4 linked regions of the Coturnix japonica genome follow. The protein of the gene in region 3 interacts with the protein of the main gene of each other region in a pairwise test. Links are inferred from orthologs where the notes say so. Each region holds a gene or a part of one and is shown on either strand. Other genes may lie near its edges.

Evidence for each region.
Region 1: the proteins of CUL3 (region 3) and KLHL2 interact in binary tests that used the Homo sapiens proteins (3 or more experiments, as listed by UniProt). The two-hybrid records come from large-scale screens. The link is inferred for Coturnix japonica from reciprocal best matches to the Homo sapiens genes CUL3 and KLHL2.
Region 2: the proteins of CUL3 (region 3) and RHOBTB2 interact in a two-hybrid assay, tested with the Homo sapiens proteins (2 studies listed by BioGRID). The link is inferred for Coturnix japonica from reciprocal best matches to the Homo sapiens genes CUL3 and RHOBTB2.
Region 4: the proteins of CUL3 (region 3) and ZMAT4 interact in binary tests that used the Homo sapiens proteins (3 or more experiments, as listed by UniProt). The two-hybrid records come from large-scale screens. The link is inferred for Coturnix japonica from reciprocal best matches to the Homo sapiens genes CUL3 and ZMAT4.

The regions. Positions count from the first base shown.
Region 1 is NC_029519.1:20,901,072-20,905,871, reverse strand, and holds the start of KLHL2 (kelch-like protein 2), read right to left. Parts: upstream 3,276-4,800; 5' UTR 3,132-3,275; coding exon 3,109-3,131; intron 407-3,108; coding exon 281-406; intron 1-280. UniProt on the Homo sapiens protein: Substrate-specific adapter of a BCR (BTB-CUL3-RBX1) E3 ubiquitin ligase complex that mediates the ubiquitination of target proteins, such as NPTXR, WNK1, WNK3 and WNK4, leading most often to their proteasomal degradation.
Region 2 is NC_029537.1:2,428,840-2,433,434, forward strand, and holds the start of RHOBTB2 (rho-related BTB domain-containing protein 2), read right to left. Parts: upstream 3,073-4,595; 5' UTR 2,958-3,072; intron 584-2,957; exon of another isoform or gene 530-583; intron 394-529; 5' UTR 375-393; coding exon 316-374; intron 1-315. UniProt on the Homo sapiens protein: Regulator of cell proliferation and apoptosis. It likely functions as a substrate-adapter that recruits key substrates, e.g. MSI2, to CUL3-based ubiquitin ligase complexes for degradation. Required for MSI2 ubiquitination and degradation.
Region 3 is NC_029524.1:7,002,264-7,007,172, forward strand, and holds the start of CUL3 (cullin-3), read right to left. Parts: upstream 3,256-4,909; 5' UTR 2,846-3,255; coding exon 2,780-2,845; intron 1-2,779. UniProt on the Homo sapiens protein: Core component of multiple cullin-RING-based BCR (BTB-CUL3-RBX1) E3 ubiquitin-protein ligase complexes which mediate the ubiquitination and subsequent proteasomal degradation of target proteins.
Region 4 is NC_029537.1:3,915,364-3,920,002, forward strand, and holds the start of ZMAT4 (zinc finger matrin-type protein 4), read right to left. Parts: upstream 3,120-4,639; 5' UTR 2,415-3,119; intron 1-2,414.

The sequences.
Region 1 (4,800 bases), on a different chromosome or scaffold from region 3:
TAAAACACAGGATCCACAGCGTCTCATTAAATATATCCTCTATGCATTTTTCAAGCCGCAGAAACCTAGTTGCAATTAACTTACGAAGAGTAGAAACATACTGCATCCATCACAACTATGATCACTTGATTATATATACAATGAAGTGACAGCTGAATAATAGTCTTTCTTCTCAGCTACACTTCAGGAATTCCATGTTCCATTTTTAGAACTTCATAAATGTAATTGAAACTAAACCTGGTTTACAGACTCTAGGCAGGTGTATACAGTGAATTAATACCTTCTTAACTCATTCATAACTTTAAAAGCTTTCTTCATGTGCCATGGATTCACTGTAACAGGACAGTGAATTTCAGTGTTATCATCTTTCAAATCCAAAGGCTTCTGATGGCAAAGTTTGGTGCATCTGGGGAAAAAGAAAAAAAAGAAGATTTAAAAAGAAGTTTAAAAAAAGTTAAAAGGTTAATATTCCTACTCCCTCAGACTATCACTCTGTTCTTGCCATCTTTATCATTGGTGAGTGTGAATGGGACTTGCATTTCAGTTTATTCTTTACTCCAGACAATTTTGGTTTCCCTTTTACCAACAGCACATGATGAAAAGAGAAGCAGGTAAGATTATCTACCTAATAATAAGCTAGTAAGGCTTATTGTAACTAGTAAGGTTTACAGAAGCTTTCAGGGCTAACAATAAGCTCCAATGTGGAAAATACACAAACAAATGCCCTAGAATACTTCTAATACATACTGAAATGAGGATAGAAGCAGCACTCCAGTAACTTCTAGTCTACCACCAGTACTGACAGGCAGAACATATTCCAGCAGTTTGATCTCTCAAAGCCTTGACCACTTGCAAAAACAGAGCTAAGCTCTGTATGGCCACCAGAATCTTGCTTACTGTTTCACACAGCTTCCAGGTCATCTTCTCTGACAGGAAGGCTGCATGATGACTGCTTTAATTCTTCAGGCTTTCCCTAGCAGAATGATTTTGCTTACCCATTTGTTGTACCAAAAAGCAAAAGTGACCAGCTTCTTAGTTCTTCTTACATCCAAAAACAGTACCAAGACTGCAAGAAGAAAAACCTAGCAGCTAAATCACTCGCTTTACCTACAACTAACTCATATTAAGAGATAGTTAAATTCTAGATACTAAGTTCTATAGGAAAACAATTACATCAAACTGTCCAAATAGCAAGCACATTTTTCAATCCCAGGCAATGAGTTTACAATGAGTTTACAATCAAAATGCAAATTACCTTATTAGCCTACTTAGAAAACACGTAGCATCAATAATGAGTCCACTTACACTATCATAGCTTTATTCCAAACTGGACATAAGCAAAACACGTTTGGCCACTGCAGTCAGTAGTGGTGGGGCAACCAACCCTGGCGCATCAGGGGTCTGCTTTCATCATTATCATTTCGGATAAAAACCTGACTTAGCTGAGTTGAGCAAGAACCAAACTTAGCATATGCATTGACACCCAGAATTCCAACCCCCCTTATCATGGAATCATTTGATTTGGAAGATACCTTTAAAGGTCATCTAGTCCAACTCTCCTGCAATGATCAGGTATACCTACAGTTAGATCAGGCTGCTCAGAGCTCCATCCACCACACCTTCAGGCAACCTGTACCAGTACTTCACTACACTTACCATAAAATAAATACATAGATAAATAAATTAAAAACCACCTTACATCCAACTTAAAATCTAGCCTCTCTTAGTTTGAAACCATTTTCCCTAGTCCTACCAAATCAGATTCTGCTGAAGAGTCTGCCCCCTTCCTTCTCATTGCCCTCCCCTTTAGATACCGGCAGGCTGCTCTCAGTTCACCTCATAGCCTTCCCTTCTCCAGCCTGAAAAGCCCCAGCTTTCTCAGCCTGTCCTTGTAAGGGATGTGTTCCATCCCTGGTATCACTTTCACGGTCCTCCTCTGGCCGCACTTCAACAGGTCCACATGTGTCTCTCCTGCACTGTGATTCCACATCTGGACACTCTTCCATCCTACCTAAAAGTTTCTATTCAAGTATGTCTAAGGAACCTTAGAAGTAAACATCACAGATAATAAATTTAAGACTTTAACTTGGACCTCTATACCCTGTGCCTTACAACAACCTCTAAAGCCAACAGGCAGGCTTTACTCCTCATTATTCAAAAACTGGCTACAAAATTTTGGAGTAAAACAGCAGAAAACCACACCAGGCAGCAAAGGAATGTGAATTCTCCACTAAGAATGGACAGCAAAGTAAGATCCCTCCATGGAACTGAAACTAGTCGCCACTTACTGCGCTGTACCATGGCACTGCAATGCTAAGTTTCTTGCTCAGTCGTGAGAATGATACAGCTCGTGGCCAAAAGGAGCCAGGTCACAAACCAAAGAGCACATACATGAGCTTCTGTGCAGAGGGGAAAAAAGATGCTACCTGGTATACTCCTTTAGATTGCTATTCTATTGAATTCTGCAACATATACAGCGATGAGCATTCAAAAAACGACACAGATCACACCAGTTCAAAGCACTGCCGACTAACGGGATGGCAGAGCCCTGCACTAATTAAACCGCCGAATTATCAAGTCTGAGGACGCCGTACCTCCTTCCATCCCCAGGAGTACAGCGGGTGCCGGACGGACCCATCCGGACTCACACGCTGTACGTGTGTGACACACAGGTGTGCACGGAGCGGCGCTGAACACAAGACCTGCCCAGGAGCCCGGAGCCGCTCTCCCCCACGCTCTGTCGGAGGGCGGCTGGGAAGCAGCGCAGCCCCGCCAGGCCGGGAGAGGCCCGAAGCACCGCGCTCCCTTCCTCGTCTCCCGCACAGCTGCGCGGCCGCTGACTCAAACAGGGAGCGAACGGGAGGGCATATGGAAAAATCAGACGGAAAAAAAAAAAAAAAATAGAAAAAGGGGAAAAAAAAACCAACCTAAATCCCCCGTAGCTAACTAGCGCGAGGCCCGCCCGCAGCCCCCAGCCCTCATTGCGTGGCCCAATGGGCCCGCTGAGCTCCGCCGCCGGTCCCCCGTCCCCCGCTGGCGCCCGGGCCCGACCCCGCGCCCTTAACCCGCGGCACGGCGCCTCGCAGCCCGCTCGCCCGCCACACTCACACGGGCGGCAGCAACATCTCCATGGCGGCTCCGTTCGGCTTTCCTCCGGGTAACGCGGGCGCCGCGCGCTGCCGCCAACACCATGCCAGCCGCTGCCGGGTGCCGGCTGCGCCCGCCCGGCAGAGCCCCGCTGCCCTCCGGCCCGCCGGGAGCCGCCGGCACTGCCCACTTCCGGGGCCCCGCCCGCCGGAGGGCCGGGCAGCGGCGCGCAGACGTGGTGGAGGCGGCGGGATCGGCGCGGTGCACCTGGCGGCGGCCGCGGTACCTGTCAGCAGCAGCGGGGTGGGAAGGGAGTGTGTGTCGGGTGGATGTCGGAGCTGATGCTGTCCCTCGGGGGAGGCTGGGGCTGAGCTTGCTTGGGCCTGGCCCTCGGTAAGCTCTGTGCGGAGAGCTGCGGTCCTCCGAGGGCGGTAGCCGGGCCCAGTAAGCGCCTCACCCCGGGAGCGGTGCTGGGTGAAGAAGGGCGGCGTGTCTGTCTGGGGATGCTGCTGCCGGCTTGTTTTCTTTTAAACAAGCTACGTGATCTCTGGAGGCCCCTTCCAACTCCTACAGTTCTGTGGTTTTAGTTCTAGTAGCTACTTAGGTTGATTTCTTATTAAGGCTAATAAAATGTTAAACTAAGTGCGTTTTAATTTATAATTTAATGTTTGCCAATCTCTAGGAATGTTCCTTTCTTGGAAAACGCAATCTTGTTTTCCTTCTCAAGTTCTCTACATTGATGTTTGATTTGGGAACGCTTAAAGAAAAAATTAAATGTATTTCCATAGGGGGATTTTCTAAATGAAATCATCACTACTGTTGGTGCTGTTTTTATGAAGTGTGGGCTTTGCATCTCTTGAATTTGTCTCAATAGATGAGCGGATCTGGCACTGGATTGTGTTGGAGGAGATGAGCTGCTTGTTAAAGAGTTGAAACAAACAAAACCCTCTTACATGGCAGTCAGCTCCAAAGGGACCAGCTGTAGGAGTGCGTGCTCAGCTGAAGCATTAGAAGTATCCCTGTGTTCCTGTTCCATGGTGCTGGTGAGGTCTGAGCCCATCAGTTCTGCCCATGGGAGGTTGGGCAGTGCTGGTCACCGTCACATCACACATTCATGTTTCTGTATCCCATGGTAAACTTGCGCATGCATTACTTCATAAGGCAAGCCCCCTAACTCATAGCTATCCATGAAACCCAAGTGAATCTTACTAGTAGTAGACTGCTCTATGTTGAGGGATCCAAGATGCTGATCATGAAGTCATTGTAAACTTGTCTGGAAGCTGATGAGGGAACGCTTTGCACACTACTTCCATATAGGTCCTGTAGGCACATAGCTGCAGGTTCTGCTGCTTGTTATTATGCCAGAGCTACTAAATAATGTTCATTCCTAAGTGAACATTAAGCCTTTCAGAACTCTGACTTCTGTCATTTTGTTCCAGTGTTATTTTGGCTTTTATGCCAAATGTCTGATGTTAGCACAAGTTACTTTTGATGCAGAACATCAAAAGCAAACACAAACAGAACACGAATCTTACTTATTTATTTATTTATTCTACAGTTATGTCTTTCACTAGTTCAGTGAACCTGAAAGGAATCATATACAGCTGTAACAAAAATGATTGCAGCCAAATTGCCTGTTTTTGGCAAAACAGCTTACAAGTCTAGCCATGAAAAAAGGCATTTGAATAGCATTTGGATTTTTATGGGATTCTG
Region 2 (4,595 bases), on a different chromosome or scaffold from region 3:
CCCGTAGGTACTGTAGGTCCGGAGATCAGCAACCCTACAACCTTATGGGCTCTGTAGGGCTGGGGATCATCACCCCTATGACCCCATGGGGCTGGAAATCAGCACCCCTATGACCCTATGTGCTCTGTAGGGCTGGAGATCTGCACCCTTATTTGCACCGCATTGCAAAAGGTCCCAACCATTTCCCTTTGCTGCAGGCAGCACCCAGCCGAGCTGTGCCCTCCTGCAGCAGGGTGGCACGAGTTGCACGGGAGCAAAGAACAAAGCATGGCTGTGCAGGCAATGGGGGGGTTGGAAGGGGGGCACAGTACTTACAGGCTGCGTGCCAAGGCTGTCATTGTCACCGTGGGGCTGCCCTTCCCTTTGGGGTCCATGTCGTGCTCTCAGCAGTGCCTGCAATGGGAGGAGAGGAGGGGTAAGTGAATCCATTCACCACCAGCACGCTGGAATCCATTCACCCTCAGCACAAAGCCTGAAGCCATGGCATGGTGATACAAGGGTGCTGTGGGGATGGAGGGGGGTCTCTCACCTAAAGCATCTCCCCTGCTGCCCCTACATCCCAACACCCGAGCTGTGAGTGAGGATTGCAAGAGGGCAGAGCTGGGGGTGAGGCTGAGCTTTGCTCTTGGCACAGGGAGCAGGAAACGCTGCTGCGTTGCCAGATTGGAATCACTGTTTGGAATCAGCCCCAATCATGCAGCTTGTGGCTACAGGGCTCTGCTTGCCCAAAGGGAATGCCCCAAGGATTTCCAACCCCTTGTTTCTAGGGTTTAAAATGAGCAAAAAGAGCCTTTCTGCAAATTGCATCCTCTGTCCTTCTAAGCTGAGGGTTCCCAGGAATCAATTCTCCATATCCAGACTGTAAATGGCCCATCTGGATCCCATCTCCCAGCCCCACCAATAACCTGTGGCTTGGAGCTCATCCCATCGCTGTGCTGCAGGATATCAGCCCTTTACTACGTGGTTTATAAGCATTTAAACCCAAAGGGATCGCTGCCCTCCAGGGAAAGCCTTATGCAACCCATAAACCTCCCCCTTCGCCCCAGCCTGCAGCTGGCGGTGCTCTCCGGGTGCATCTTTTGCAACCAGGAAGCAAAGCAAAGCAACATGCAAGGTCCTGCTGAAGGATATTTGCACCCTACAGCGGTGGGGCGTTGTCTGACTGGTCAAAGTGCTGCTGTGTGGATAATGCATCCCATAGCTTTGAGGTGTTGTTGATGTGCCCGTCCTGCTGCCTCCCCCTGCCCCACATTTGGGGCCATTTATAGGCACAGGTTTATTATAGAGCCCTCCCCATCCCCTCCAGCATTAAGAGCCGCTGACGCCTCGTGCAGAAGCTGTTAAGAGCTTCTATTTGGGTCCTGTGGCTTCTCTGCTTCCCATTCCTCCTCACACAGTGCAAAATAAACCCATAACATCACCAAACAAACCCCCCCAACCCAGGGAACAGCCTCAGGGAGTCTGTTCTTGAGGTGTATTTGGGGATGTTGATGCAGCTTGCAATGGGGTGAAACCCCACAAGAAGGGCTCCCACATCCCAAATCTGCTGCACCAACACGCGTTGGTTACATCCTAAATGCACCCCCAAGAGCGTGGCTAAGGGCACGGGGGGGGCTGCACGTTTCTGCATTAAAAACAGATAGGAGAAAATCAGAAAGGAAGGAGCCTGTTCCTAAGCAACAGCCTCTGGTAGAGATGGAGACCATGAGGTGGAGACTGTGAGATGGAGACCGTAGAGTGGAGACCGTGAGATGGAGGGCATAGAATGGAGACCATGAGATGGAGGCCATAAAATAGAGATCATGAGATGGAGGTCATAGTATGGAGACTATGAAATGGACACCGAAAGGTGAAGGCCATAAAATAGAGATCATGAGATGGAGACCATAGAATGGAGACCATAAAATGGAGACTCTGAGATGGACACCAAAAAGTGAAGGGCATAAAATAGAGACCATGAGATGGAGGTCATAAAATTGAGACCATGAGATGGAGGTCATAAAATTGAGACCATGAGATGGAGGTCATAAAATGGAGACTATGAGTTGGAGGTAATAGAATGGAGACCATGAGATGGACACAGAAAGGTGAAGGCCATAAAATAGAGACCATGAGATGGAGGTCACAGAATGGAGACCATGAGATGGAGGTCGTAGTATGGAGACTATGAGATGGACACAGAAAGGTGAAGGCCATAAAATGGAGATAATGAGATGGAGACCATAGAATGGAGGCCATAAAGTGGAGACCCTGAGACGGATACCACAAGGTGGAGGCCGTAACATGGAGACCATGAGATGGAGATCATAAAATGGAAACTAGAAGATGGACACTGTGAGATAAAGGCTATAAAATGGAAACCAGGAGATGGAGACCATAAAATGGAGACCAAGAGATGGATACCACAAGATGGAGACCATGAAATGGAGGTCATAACATGGAGACCACAAGATGGAGACCATAAAATAGAGACCACGAGATGGAGACCATAAAATGGAGACCACAAGATGGAGACCATAAAATAGAGACCACGAGATGGAGACCATAAAATGGAGACCACAAGATGGAGACCATAAATTGGAGACCATCTTATGGAGACCACGAGACAGATACCATAAAATGAAGACCACGAGTTGGAGACCATAAAATGGAGACCATAGGATGAGGTGCTACAAAGCATTGGAGCAAACTCCTGGGATCACAGAACCCCACAGCAGCGATGCAGGACAGTGGGGAGACTCCAAACCCACCCAGCACAGCCCACCCACCCATCTCCAACCCTACTGCTCCGTCCCTAAAGAAAGGTGAAAACCCATTGAGTTGGCCAAGACTCTATTGGAGCTAAATTGGATGGACGGGCAGACAGACAGCTGGACAGACAGAGAGACGGATGGGAGGGCAGACAGATGGATAAATGAGCAGATAGATGGATGGACAGACAGACAGACAGCGGTTACCTGTGTGTGTCCGGGCGCTGGCGGTTGTGCCCTGGCTCTTCCAGCAGCGAGTTTCCCCGTCCCAATAGGGATCATTTTTATACGCTCACCCATGTGATCCCAACTAATGCCCCAGGGATGAGGTTTTTTTTTCATGCACTGACACAACCGGAGGGGCCGGAGCTCAAACAAAACCTGTTGGACCACAATCCGCGCTCAGCACCCGGGCAGGAATTTTCCACTCTCTGGGTGCGCCGCTGCACGATGCACGTTGAGACGTGCTTTATACGGCTCCTAAAGGGAAAAAGCAAAGGGGAAAATGCAAACTTTCCCATTTCCAGATGCTTTGAATGGTCGTTTGACCTCATCTTTAAGTTTCCACGTTGGAGTTGGAGAGCAGAGATGGAGAAATGCATGGGGGAATGCATTGGAGACGTTGCGTAGATGCAAGTTGTGCACCATGCATGTTATTTCTGCCAAGTGCATGCTCCTTCTGCAAAGTACATGCAATATCTGCAAAGATAACACAGCAGATGGTGCTCAGAGTGAGAGATGAAGGCAACCCTTTGCTCCCCCAAACTCTCCCTGCAACCTTTCGCACCCATGGGGGTGATGGAGGGGATGCACTCGGTGTTGTTGATGGTGCTGGGCAGAAGGAAGGCATGGATGTGATAAATGCCTAAGGGTGACAGGATGGGAATGGAAAGGATGAGCTTGGGAGAAGTGCTGGTGAGTCAATGGGAACCACAGGAGCAGGGAAATGAGCACAGCCTGCAGGGCTGAGTCAGTGGGACCAGCTGGTGAGTCAATGGGAAAGCAGGGAGCTAATGGAGCGATGGGCTGTAGGTGTTTGTGGGGTGCACAGGAGGAGGGTATAGGGGTGATCCAGCATGGAGGTTACACTCCTGGAGTGCTGCTGGGTCACTGAACCCTGCCATAGGGCTGGATAATGTGTGATCTATAGGGTTTGCTCGTGGCCCAGCTGTTCTGGGGTTGGTTCTGTGGGGTTCCAGCCTCTGTAAGCTGCCCCATGCGGTGCTGTGTTGGCACAGCTCTGGGGTCAGCGCTGCCAAGGGGCCGGGCAGTGGGGCTGGGGCTGTGCCAGGCTCTGGGAATAGAAACACAGCAGGACACGGAGCGGTAGGTGGGAGGACAGGGGGGGTTTTGGGCACCAAGCAGCTTTCCTTTGTGTGTTGGGGGGCAGACATGGGGGCTCTGTGTCCCCTGATAGCTCTAAGTTGGGGTCACTGTGGGGTAATGGCACTGGGTGCCCGCTGCTGTGCTGGAAGGAGTTGGGGTGGGTTCATGGCAGCACCCATTGGGTCCAGTAATGTGGATTTGAGTGGGGATAGCAGCGGGTTTGGGAGCTGCCTGCTGAGATAGGAGCAAACAGTTGGGATGGGGGGAGATGGGAAGAGCTGGGGAGATCCCAGTAGGATTGTGGGTCCCCAACACTGGTTTTGGGGGCACCCTGGAGCATTTCCCTAGGCAAGACCCATAGCTGTGCCCATCAAACCAACGTGAACCCCAGTGGCAGCCAGGTTAAAGCTGTCTGAGGTGAGATTGAGCCAATTTGGTGCAGTTTGAGTCTATTGATGCAGAGGTTCATCACGGCTCTGCTGGGGGTTGGGACCCCCATAACTGATCCTCTCACAGACG
Region 3 (4,909 bases):
TAATGGTCTTACAACTCACTTAGCAAAATAGCCTGCCATGTGCTCAAGGTAAGAAAAGACCTCAGTGTGAGGTAAGAGAAAGAGTACATGGCACATAACAGGAGGTAGTAAATAGTAAAGGAGACCTGCCATAACTACAAGAAATTAACAATAAAGAATCTAGAAAAAATATCAAAACTTTAAGATCACTTGGTAAAACGTTTGTAGTTTTAGAAGGTGTTTGTGAAATTCTACTGAACTGCTAATTAAAAACACGTGCTGTATTATTCCGTAAAATATTATTTGATCCCTCCTTCAGTTATTGCAAGATATAACAATGACAGAGAAGTCTAAAAATAAAATATAAAAACATGAAAAGGGACAGAACCGACGTGGATTCAGTTGCCATAATATTGCTACGTTCCAGGAACCTTACCCAACCAATCTGGCTCCTTCAGCTCTCACACAACAGTCAGCAGAGACCTCTGCACGAAAAGCCAACTAAAGCAGAACAAGGAGACCTACCCGCACCAAAGAAAAACAGAAGAAGCCTACAAAGTCACCTCTGAAGGCACTTCTAATTCAGAAGTGAAGAGCAGAAGCACCAAATGTGAGATAAAAGAGTGAAGATCCATAACTGAAGTAGGAATAGTACACATTCTAAATATAGACTCTATCCCGCACACAGATGTAACCTCACTGACATGAGTAATCCCACTGCAGTCGCTGGCACCATTCACAGGACTAAAGCTACACAAACACTTGGGGCTCTGCAAAATCTGTGTTAAGATTGTAACCTGGACCCTAACAATAGTTATTACCTTCTGCAACTGTGCAAGGCAAAGCCCTCCACATCTCTTAACCAACTACACGTTTCTTCTCTATAAACACCTGATCAACGGGATTGCCAACAAAATGTCTCAGAGAAGAAAATCCACTGAATGAAACACCTGGAAAATTGCTGTCAATAGAAATCACCAAACGTTTAAGATGCTTATATGCCTATATGCACTCACTGGCATTTTAGGAAGGCAATAATTCAGGGAGCTTTGATGGGTTTTGTTTAGATTTTTAATGTAAACTTTTAATTTAAACTGAAAAGAAAAACAACGTGAACAAGAATGGTTTTAGAAGAAAAAAAGTGATGGCAATGCTTACACTTCTGTAAGAGCAGAGCTCTGTGTGAGCATCCTTCAGCCACCAACCTGATTTCACTTGCTTATGTGTAACAGCACCGAAAAAGAATCACTTGGAAAGTTGATCTCATTTGTTGAGTTTGCTGTTGCTGGCTAATACAGATCCACATATTCAGTTGTGATAAATGAATCTGTTCACAGAATCACATAATGACCCGGGTTGGAAGGGACCTCAAGGATCATGTAGTTCCAACCCCCTGCCTGGCAGGGCCACCAAACATACACCTTTACTAGATCAGGTTGCCCAGGGCCCCGTCCAGCCTGGCCTTGAATCTGTTCATCAAGTCAAAAGATGGCTATTTTTTACACATTTATGTCATGGTTAATTTTGGTAAAGCTTTTCCTACTTTTTGTTAGTAAAGCCCTGACAATGTTGCAATAAGACTTTATTCCTACAAGTCAAAATATCCTCACAAAACTGACAATCTTATAAAAGACTGTTGAAAGAAATATACACAATATGGAGACCAAAAGTCTCTGCCCAGCTAAAGGCCTTAAGTTTCACAGCACCCTTCTTTGTTTTGACTTTTACCACTAAATGCAACTGTTGGCCATTAGAAGTAGAGGGAAGAAGAAAGCAGTCGGTCACATTACTGTGAGTAAAGAAGCTGCTGAAAAGACAGAGAATCCCCCAACTTTATCAGCGAGGTTTTTCATGAAGCAAATGTACTGATATACTCCTTGTCAGTAAATAAGATAAAACAGGTACGCCCGGCTTCTCTCTAAAGGCAGGGCTCATTAGTTCTATCCTACTACCTACCAGGATCAGGCGTAACATCAAAAAGTTACGCTAAGCCCCACATGCCAGTGACTCAACTAAGTATCTTCTTTTTAACACACATCGGTGAATGCACACACACACACACACACACACTTCCTGGCAAACCTCAGGCAGACCGAAGCTTTCTTCTGTCCCTCATTCCTCACCGCCATTAACAGTCCCACAGTTGTTATTCTGTTCTAAGCTTTAATTGAACCAACTGTCAAAACACTGCAAGCTTTATGGCAGAATAAATTAATAACTGGGCTCGTTCCCATCCGCAATCCAAGGGATGGCATTTCCACGGCCCTACACAACACACATGGAAGTTACCTGTGCCCCATGTTTACAGCAACAACTGGCACTGTGCCACCTAAGTCTCATAACCGTACGACTTAGAGTCTCTTTCACAGCATAGAGAGTCAAATAAATTCTCGACGAGGAAACTCTCCGGAAGACGCAAATGAATACCGCCCCCCTTCCGGAGGTAACCGGCGTTGTGGACGAAGCCGCGTAACCTTCCACTCCTTCCCCGAGGCCTTTTCCTTGAAAACAAAGAACCGCCGGCCGCCCCCCTCCCCGCTGCCGCTCGTGGGCTGCCCGCCCCGCGGTGCCTCAGGTCCGGCGGCGGAGCCCCGTTCCCCACCATTTAGTGGCGGCGGACTCGCAGCGCCGCTCCCGGTTCCCGTCGCCTCCCGACCCGCTGACAGCCGCCCGCCCCCCGCAGGCCCGCGGCCGGCCCGGCCGGGCCCCCCCCATACGGCTGACAGGGCGTGAGGCCGCGAGGCCTGCGGAGGCCGGGGCCTGGCGCGGGCGGCCTAGGCCCGTCGGGGCCGGTACTCACGGGGAAGGCTCGGATCCGCATCTTGGTGTCCTTCCGGCTGCCCGTCCCCTTGCTCAGGTTCGACATCTTCGGGGCCGGCGGCGGCGGCGCCCCCCTGGGGAGGGGCGCGGAGGACGCGCGGGGGGCGGCGGGGCCGGGGCCGGGCGGGGGAGGCCGCCGGAGATGTTCGCTGCGGGCTGCGGGCCCCGAGGCTGCGCGGAGGGACCGGGCCGGGCCGCGGGGGGTTGGAGGGAGCGGAGGGAGCGGCGGAAAGCGAGGCGGAGGCGCGGGGCCCTCGCTCCGGCGGCGACGCTTCCTTCACCCGCCTCCTCCGCCGCGATGGCGGACAAACATCGCTCAGTGCGCAGGGCCGAGCGCCCCCCTCCTTCCTCTTCTTCCCTTCCCCTTCCTCTCGCTTCCTCCCCTCCCCGTCCCGTCCCACCGCCCAGGGCGCAGCGACGAGGGGACGGATCCGGCCGCGGCGGCGGGCGGGGGCGGCGGGAGGGCCGCGGGGCGGGGCGGAGCTCGCCACTCTCGCGAGACCGTCCGGCGAGCTGTCACAGGCGGCGGACGCGGAGTGGAGTGATGCAGGACGGTTGTATTTATGTTTTGTGTTGTTTTTTTGCCGTCACGATGCGTGACTGAGAAATGAGGGTGGCACCCGAGGCGGTGCTGACACGAGTACGGAGCTAAATATAGGCCGCTTGGAAAGGGCAGGTGGAGCAGGAGGGAAGGGTGCTCGGGAAACAACAGGGCCTGTAGGCCGGCAGCAATACAGCAATACAGCAATACAGCAATACAGCAATACAGCAATACAGCAATACAGCAATACAGCAATACAGCTCCACGAACGTTAGGCTGGTTAGCAGGAAAATAATGCCCCTGAACCAGAGCCTGACTGCAGGTAGGGGATGGAGCTTGAAAGCTAGATCTAGAGATCGCTGGCATGACTGGTGTCCTGCATGTGGATGCAACACCACGTAGTCAGGAAGAGAATCTCTTCTAGGTGACTTGTAGGACTAGATAGCAAGGCATCCTGGTGCACGTTATTCCTGCAGCTCTGCTTAGCTCTCCCATCACACCCTCTGCCACCACAGAGCTCTGAGGTAGTTTTGCCTTCTGTAAGAGCTACTGCGTTCATTTTGTCTCTGTGTTTGTTACAACCACTTCCCACCGGGACTATAAACACATTACTATATGTTAATCTGATCAGAGTTAAGTATACGCCTAGAGAAAATATTATATAACAGCAACACAATAAACAATGATTGCAGCGGCACTATGCAATACCAATGAGTCCTTCTCAAAATTACAGCATAGTCGATGCAGATCAAACGAGATGAGAAGGGAAAGATTGCCGTTTGCTAATACAAAGAACACAGCTTCCACATTGTTTCCACATCATTTCAATGTTTGTTTTGCTCCTAAGCATTTCCTCTTTGAAATTAGGACATGTTCGTATGCAGTTTTCAATCTGAAAACATTACAAGAATACTCCGCAACAACTTCAGTGCTGTTTTCCTAAGAACTGTTTATGAGGAACTGACCACAAAAAAGAAAAAGAAAACTGCTGAAAACCATCCCTATGTGCTTTTTCCATTGCAGCAGATTGGACCAGATTAACTTCTATTACTGGTTTTGTGCTTCCTCTCATACTGGTTTTATGGATCCAAGTTGCTTGTTCATGAGTATTTTAATGTAAAAGCTTAAAAAGTGCTGACTTGCCCTTAGTTGCTGGTGGTCTAGGTTCAATATGCTGAATAAAAATACTCATACTTCAATTCTCTTGTCATGTAGTTTTATTTTACACTTACAGCAGCCTATCACAAGTATTGCTAGTGCTAACTTTATTATTAAAAGCTGAAATTACAGTCTGAGACTTGTTTTCATGCGGATTTATGATCTGTTGGGGTTATCTGCTGTATGGAAATTCACCCAGAGCTCCTTGCTTCATGTCTGATCTCTGTTCTCTGCACAGGGTGGAAACAACTTCTTTAGTGCAAAGTTTCTATTTCCATACGTAACATACAAAATGAAGTTTTGCTAAAAGTTAAGGCTTTGAGCTTACACAAATAAGTAATTTAAGGGTTCATTAAGTACTTATAATGTTAATTCTAGGTAGGTCAAAGCCAGAAACAAGACAGATGGGTG
Region 4 (4,639 bases), on a different chromosome or scaffold from region 3:
GCAGCGTGGCATGGGGGGAAACCTTCCCCTGTTTCCTGAAGCTGCTGCTGTTCCCAGGATGGGTCCTTCCACACCCTGCAGCTCCTGCACCTGCCAGAAAAGGGCATTTTGCACATGTTGTAAAGGAATAACTGCACTTGCATGCGGTGCCATCAGGAAGACAACTGCCTCTGCACTCAGCACTGTGCAATGGAGGGAGACTGGCCCCCTGAAATGTACCCAAATCTGTACCAACCCATTTCTGTACCCAAATCCACCCTTGGGAGCATCTGCGACCAGGTTTTGGCCTAGAAATTGGCCCACTTCTGATGTCTCAATGTGGTTCTGGGTTTCATGTCCCACTGTGCTCCTTGGGAGCATAACCCAGATACGGCACAGCACTCAGACAAGACCTGGAAGTGCTGGCCTCTCTGTGCACCAAAGCAGTTGGAAGGTAAACCCACAATGATAATGGTCTGGGCACCAATGCTTCCAATTGTGCATGAACCAGATGGAAGTGTCACATCAGCGGGGGTCAGCAGTCGCAGTAAACCCACTGCAAATGGGTATCAACAGGCAGGCATCAACAAAACATCTACACAGAGCAAACCTTTCCAAGAATGGTTTGTGGTCAGGCAGCAACACTGAATTGTTAAGAAAACCTGTTGGGTGGATGGATGTGCTCTGCAGCACACCTGAGAAAGCAGAGGTGCAGCACTCCAGCTCTTCTGGGCTCTTCATGGCTCCAGCACAGCAGGAAGAGCAGGGGAGAGCAGGAAAACCAGAGGGAGGATTGGGAGGAAAGTTACAGCAGAGCAGCACGGAGCAAAGAGAAGTGACTTCTGAAAACACCCAGGTTGGGCAGGTACAGATAGAAGCACTAACTGTTATGCAGGAGTAAGGATTAATTACTCGGAGTGACTCAGAAGTGACTAAGACTGATCAGAAGAAATCAAGTCGTGTTTTGGGCAACATCCACCCCAGGGAGAGGGATGCAGAAGGCAGCGGAGCAGGTGCAGGGGCACCGAGATCAAGAGGTTTCTGACTGATGGGTCTTCTCCTCTGGGGGGGCAGAGCTTCCACTCTTATTGCTTCTGATCAAACACTGTGGGGAGACCCATTTTCCAATCTCACCCTACAATGCTCCTGCACTTCTCCTCCTTCCTGTCCCTTCCTATGGGAGATGAGTCACCGTCTAGCAACCTTTATCAAAATACCTCTTACGGAACTGTCTATTGCAGTAGCAGGGATAGCAGAAGGAGACCCCCACTCAGTGCTCCTTTCCCCTGCACTGAACCCCTCCTGCCCTGCACCCCATGGCTCAGAGCCTCCCGTTTGTGTTTTGCAGTCAGACAGCATGTGCTCGTGTGAGAGCCAACAGCACAATATCTGCAGAAAATGCAAACTGTGGGTTTTGAACTGCCCTACTCCAGGCTTTGCAAAACCTTGTTCTGCACCCAGTCACGCACACTAAGGTCACTCCAGTACTACCAGGGGATGGAAAAGGAGCATGTGGCTGCCTGAAGGGCAGCACTAGGGCACATTCCTGGTCAGGTGCTACCAGTCCATGGATAGGGATCACCAACAATTCAGATGTCCCAAGAGTCATTACAAGAGAACTCGTAGGCAGCTCAAATGGCAGCGCTCATGGTGCATGAGGACAGCTGTCCTGAGGCTTAGACCTGCAGACAGCTCCAGTGCAACACGTGGGGTCAGCTGAACCCAGGAGAGCAAAAACCAAGCCCCCCTCACCAGCCATTGCTGCAATTTTGCTGCGGCTTTCCCTGCTGGTTCTTCAGCAGTGCCCGGCTCAGGACAGGCCAGGGGCGGCCGTCCCACTGCTCATTTACCTCCCCAAAACCTGCTTTTGCACTCAAAGCAGTGCTGGCCTGGCAAGTTCTCCAAACTTTAAGAGCAGCAGAGACAAATGCTGCTTTCCTGCATCAAGTCTGCAGTCCGAGGAGCTTGCTTTTGCCTGCGCAAAGCCCACTCAGTAAAAGCAGCCCTTATTTCTGCAGACCAACCAATGCAGGATGGACAAAGTCCCCACCAAGGCACCAACTCAATTCCGGTCACCTGCAAACAGGTGGATGTTTTGCTCCATAGCATCACTGGAGAGCAACCTGGCACCCAACAGGCTCTGGGTCACACACAATGCACGCCGGCCACTTCTGACCCCTGGCACAGCATTGAGGGAAGCACAGCAGTGCTGGTGGGCCTCGCATGCAGGTTATGGCTCAGAAGCAGCATCAAAACTACCCCAGCTACCTCGGTACACCTGGTACCGCATCCCAGCATCACCGTGCATCCCTCCCACCGCGTTCAGACGGGCGCTGTGACTGCACAGCGCTGATTCCCCCGTAAACTTTGCTCCAACTCTAAGCAGCAATCAAGCAACAAGCAGCACAAGAGCCGAGAGAGAGGAGGGGCGGTACCTTCGTGTCGCCGATGTGCAGAGGGGAACGGCTGCTCCTGCGGTGCTGCCGGGATGGGAGCGCGTTGGAGCCGCAGTCCCAGCTCTCCTCTCCCCACGAACAGATCTCTCAGTCGCCCAGACCAACTGTGCTGGAAAGGCACTCGGTTTCATCTGCTGGAGCTCCAGCTCCACCCCTAGCAGCAGCGATTGGCTCCGTGGTGCTCTGCAAGGCTGCGCTGGCCCCGACAGCCTCCCTCCAGCTCGAGCTCCTGAGACCATCGGGAGCTTCCCGGAGCAGTAACCAGAGGAGAGCAGTTATCAAGGGGATGGGTTCATCCCCAGACCAAGAGCTGTCACAGGTTCCTTTAGGCAGGGCTGACACAATGCTGAAACCAAAGAACATATGCTCGAGGCCAGCAACGGTGGCAACAAATGGGGGATGGAGAAACAAAGGGGATGCAGAGCCCTTCAAACCACATGCAATGAGAGGACAGTACCTAATGCAGCATCATGCACACAGGTCTGGAAGTCTGTAATCCATAGCCAGGCTTACACTAAACAGAGCTCTTTGAACCAGGTAACCTGGAAAACAAAGTGGGCATTCATTCCTTTGTGAGGAGCATCTTTCAGGCACACCCAGCTCACAGCTCAGGTTGAACAACCCGAGCACCATGGAGAACACAGGCACAATCTCCTGCATCTTTCTTCTGCCAACACAAGGCCTCCGAGACGCCGTCTCTCCGCCCTCCTTTCTGCTCCCAGCATTAAAAAGATGCTGAGGACTGGCTGAGTTCCACCGAGTGTTTCTGTCCCCGTTCAGCAGACTTGGCAGCACCGCCTGTGCCTGCACGTGAGTCCCAGCTGAAGCAGCTGCAGTAAGGGCCAGGAGCTGCCCTTGGCCCTGCTGGGGCCCGTGGGTGATGCCTGGTGGGTGCTGGATGCTCACAGCCCCTTCCTGCAGCTTTGTCTGACTGAGCCCCACCTGTTTGGTTTGGGAGAGGATCAGAGAGCTGAGGATAGTCCTCAGACAGCTGCTTATCCCTCTGCCTTCTCAGCAGCTCATAAATATTCTCTTTGATGCTGTGATAATTCCTTTTGTGTTCCATAGGCCAATTAATTTGGAGACTTAAGAAACACACGCACAAAATATCAGAAATCTGTTACTATTTTGATTTATGTTTAAAACCAGATCTCCTCAGACACAACAACGACATTATAGTGACACTCAGCAGCACGATTCTCATTTCTGCATGGGATGCCTCAAGGAGCTACAAGCACATTCCCTTGGCACAGTAGGATGGAACTACTCACAAAGGTGGGGCAGAGGTTTTCCAAACCAATGGATTTGGGTTGTGCAAGAATCAGGCTGAGCCACACTGCTGTGCTGGGTGTCTGGAACATTCACTTCAGCGTGAGATGGTCTTTAAATCACCCAGAGGACCGTGATGCTTCCTGATCCTGTCTGGCTCTTTAGCTGCAAATGCTCCTTAGCATCTTTAAGCCTTAAAAAGTCAGCATCCTTGGTTATTAAGCCATGTATCTAAGCATCCAAAACTGACACGAACTCCTCCAAGTTGCCACCTGCTGAGAGGTGCAGGTCAGACACTGGTTGCAGTGACACAGCTGCCATTCAAGGAATGGAGATTCCTTAAATCTCTTCCTTTCTGCCACCCCCCCTGACCCATTCCTCCAACAAAGCTTCCTCCAAGCAGAACTTGCTTTGCAGATGATAGCAGTGAATGTGAGTGGTGCTGCACTGCCCTTCTTGGTGCCAAGCAAAGAGGCAGAGCTCCCCATAGCTCTCCCTGATAGGTTCGGACAGCCCTGGCTCAGACCAAAGCACAACACTGGAAAATTCAGTTTTTCTCCATCCCAGTGCACTGCCAGGGCTGAGGAATGTGTTTACTGGCCCTGAACTGGGCTAATTACAGAGCAATCCGAAATGCCTCAAAATACAGAGCAGGAAAACAACAGCTGTGATTGATTAATCACAGTAGTGAAGCTGAAGGGTTTGATCATTCCCAAAACCTCTTTAATATTTCATTCTCCAAAGAGGGAGAGGCTATTGCAGGCGCAGAACAAAGCAGAGCTCAGGCCGGGCTCTCTTCCCCCCAGTGTCTCTGAGCAGACTGTGGTGCCTGCAGCAAATGAAGAGCACAGCACTGCATGAGCAAGCACAAGGGCACTTTGCCCCTTAGAGCAGCCCATCTGGCCAGAGCCAGCCCATCCCTTCAGTGGGCATCG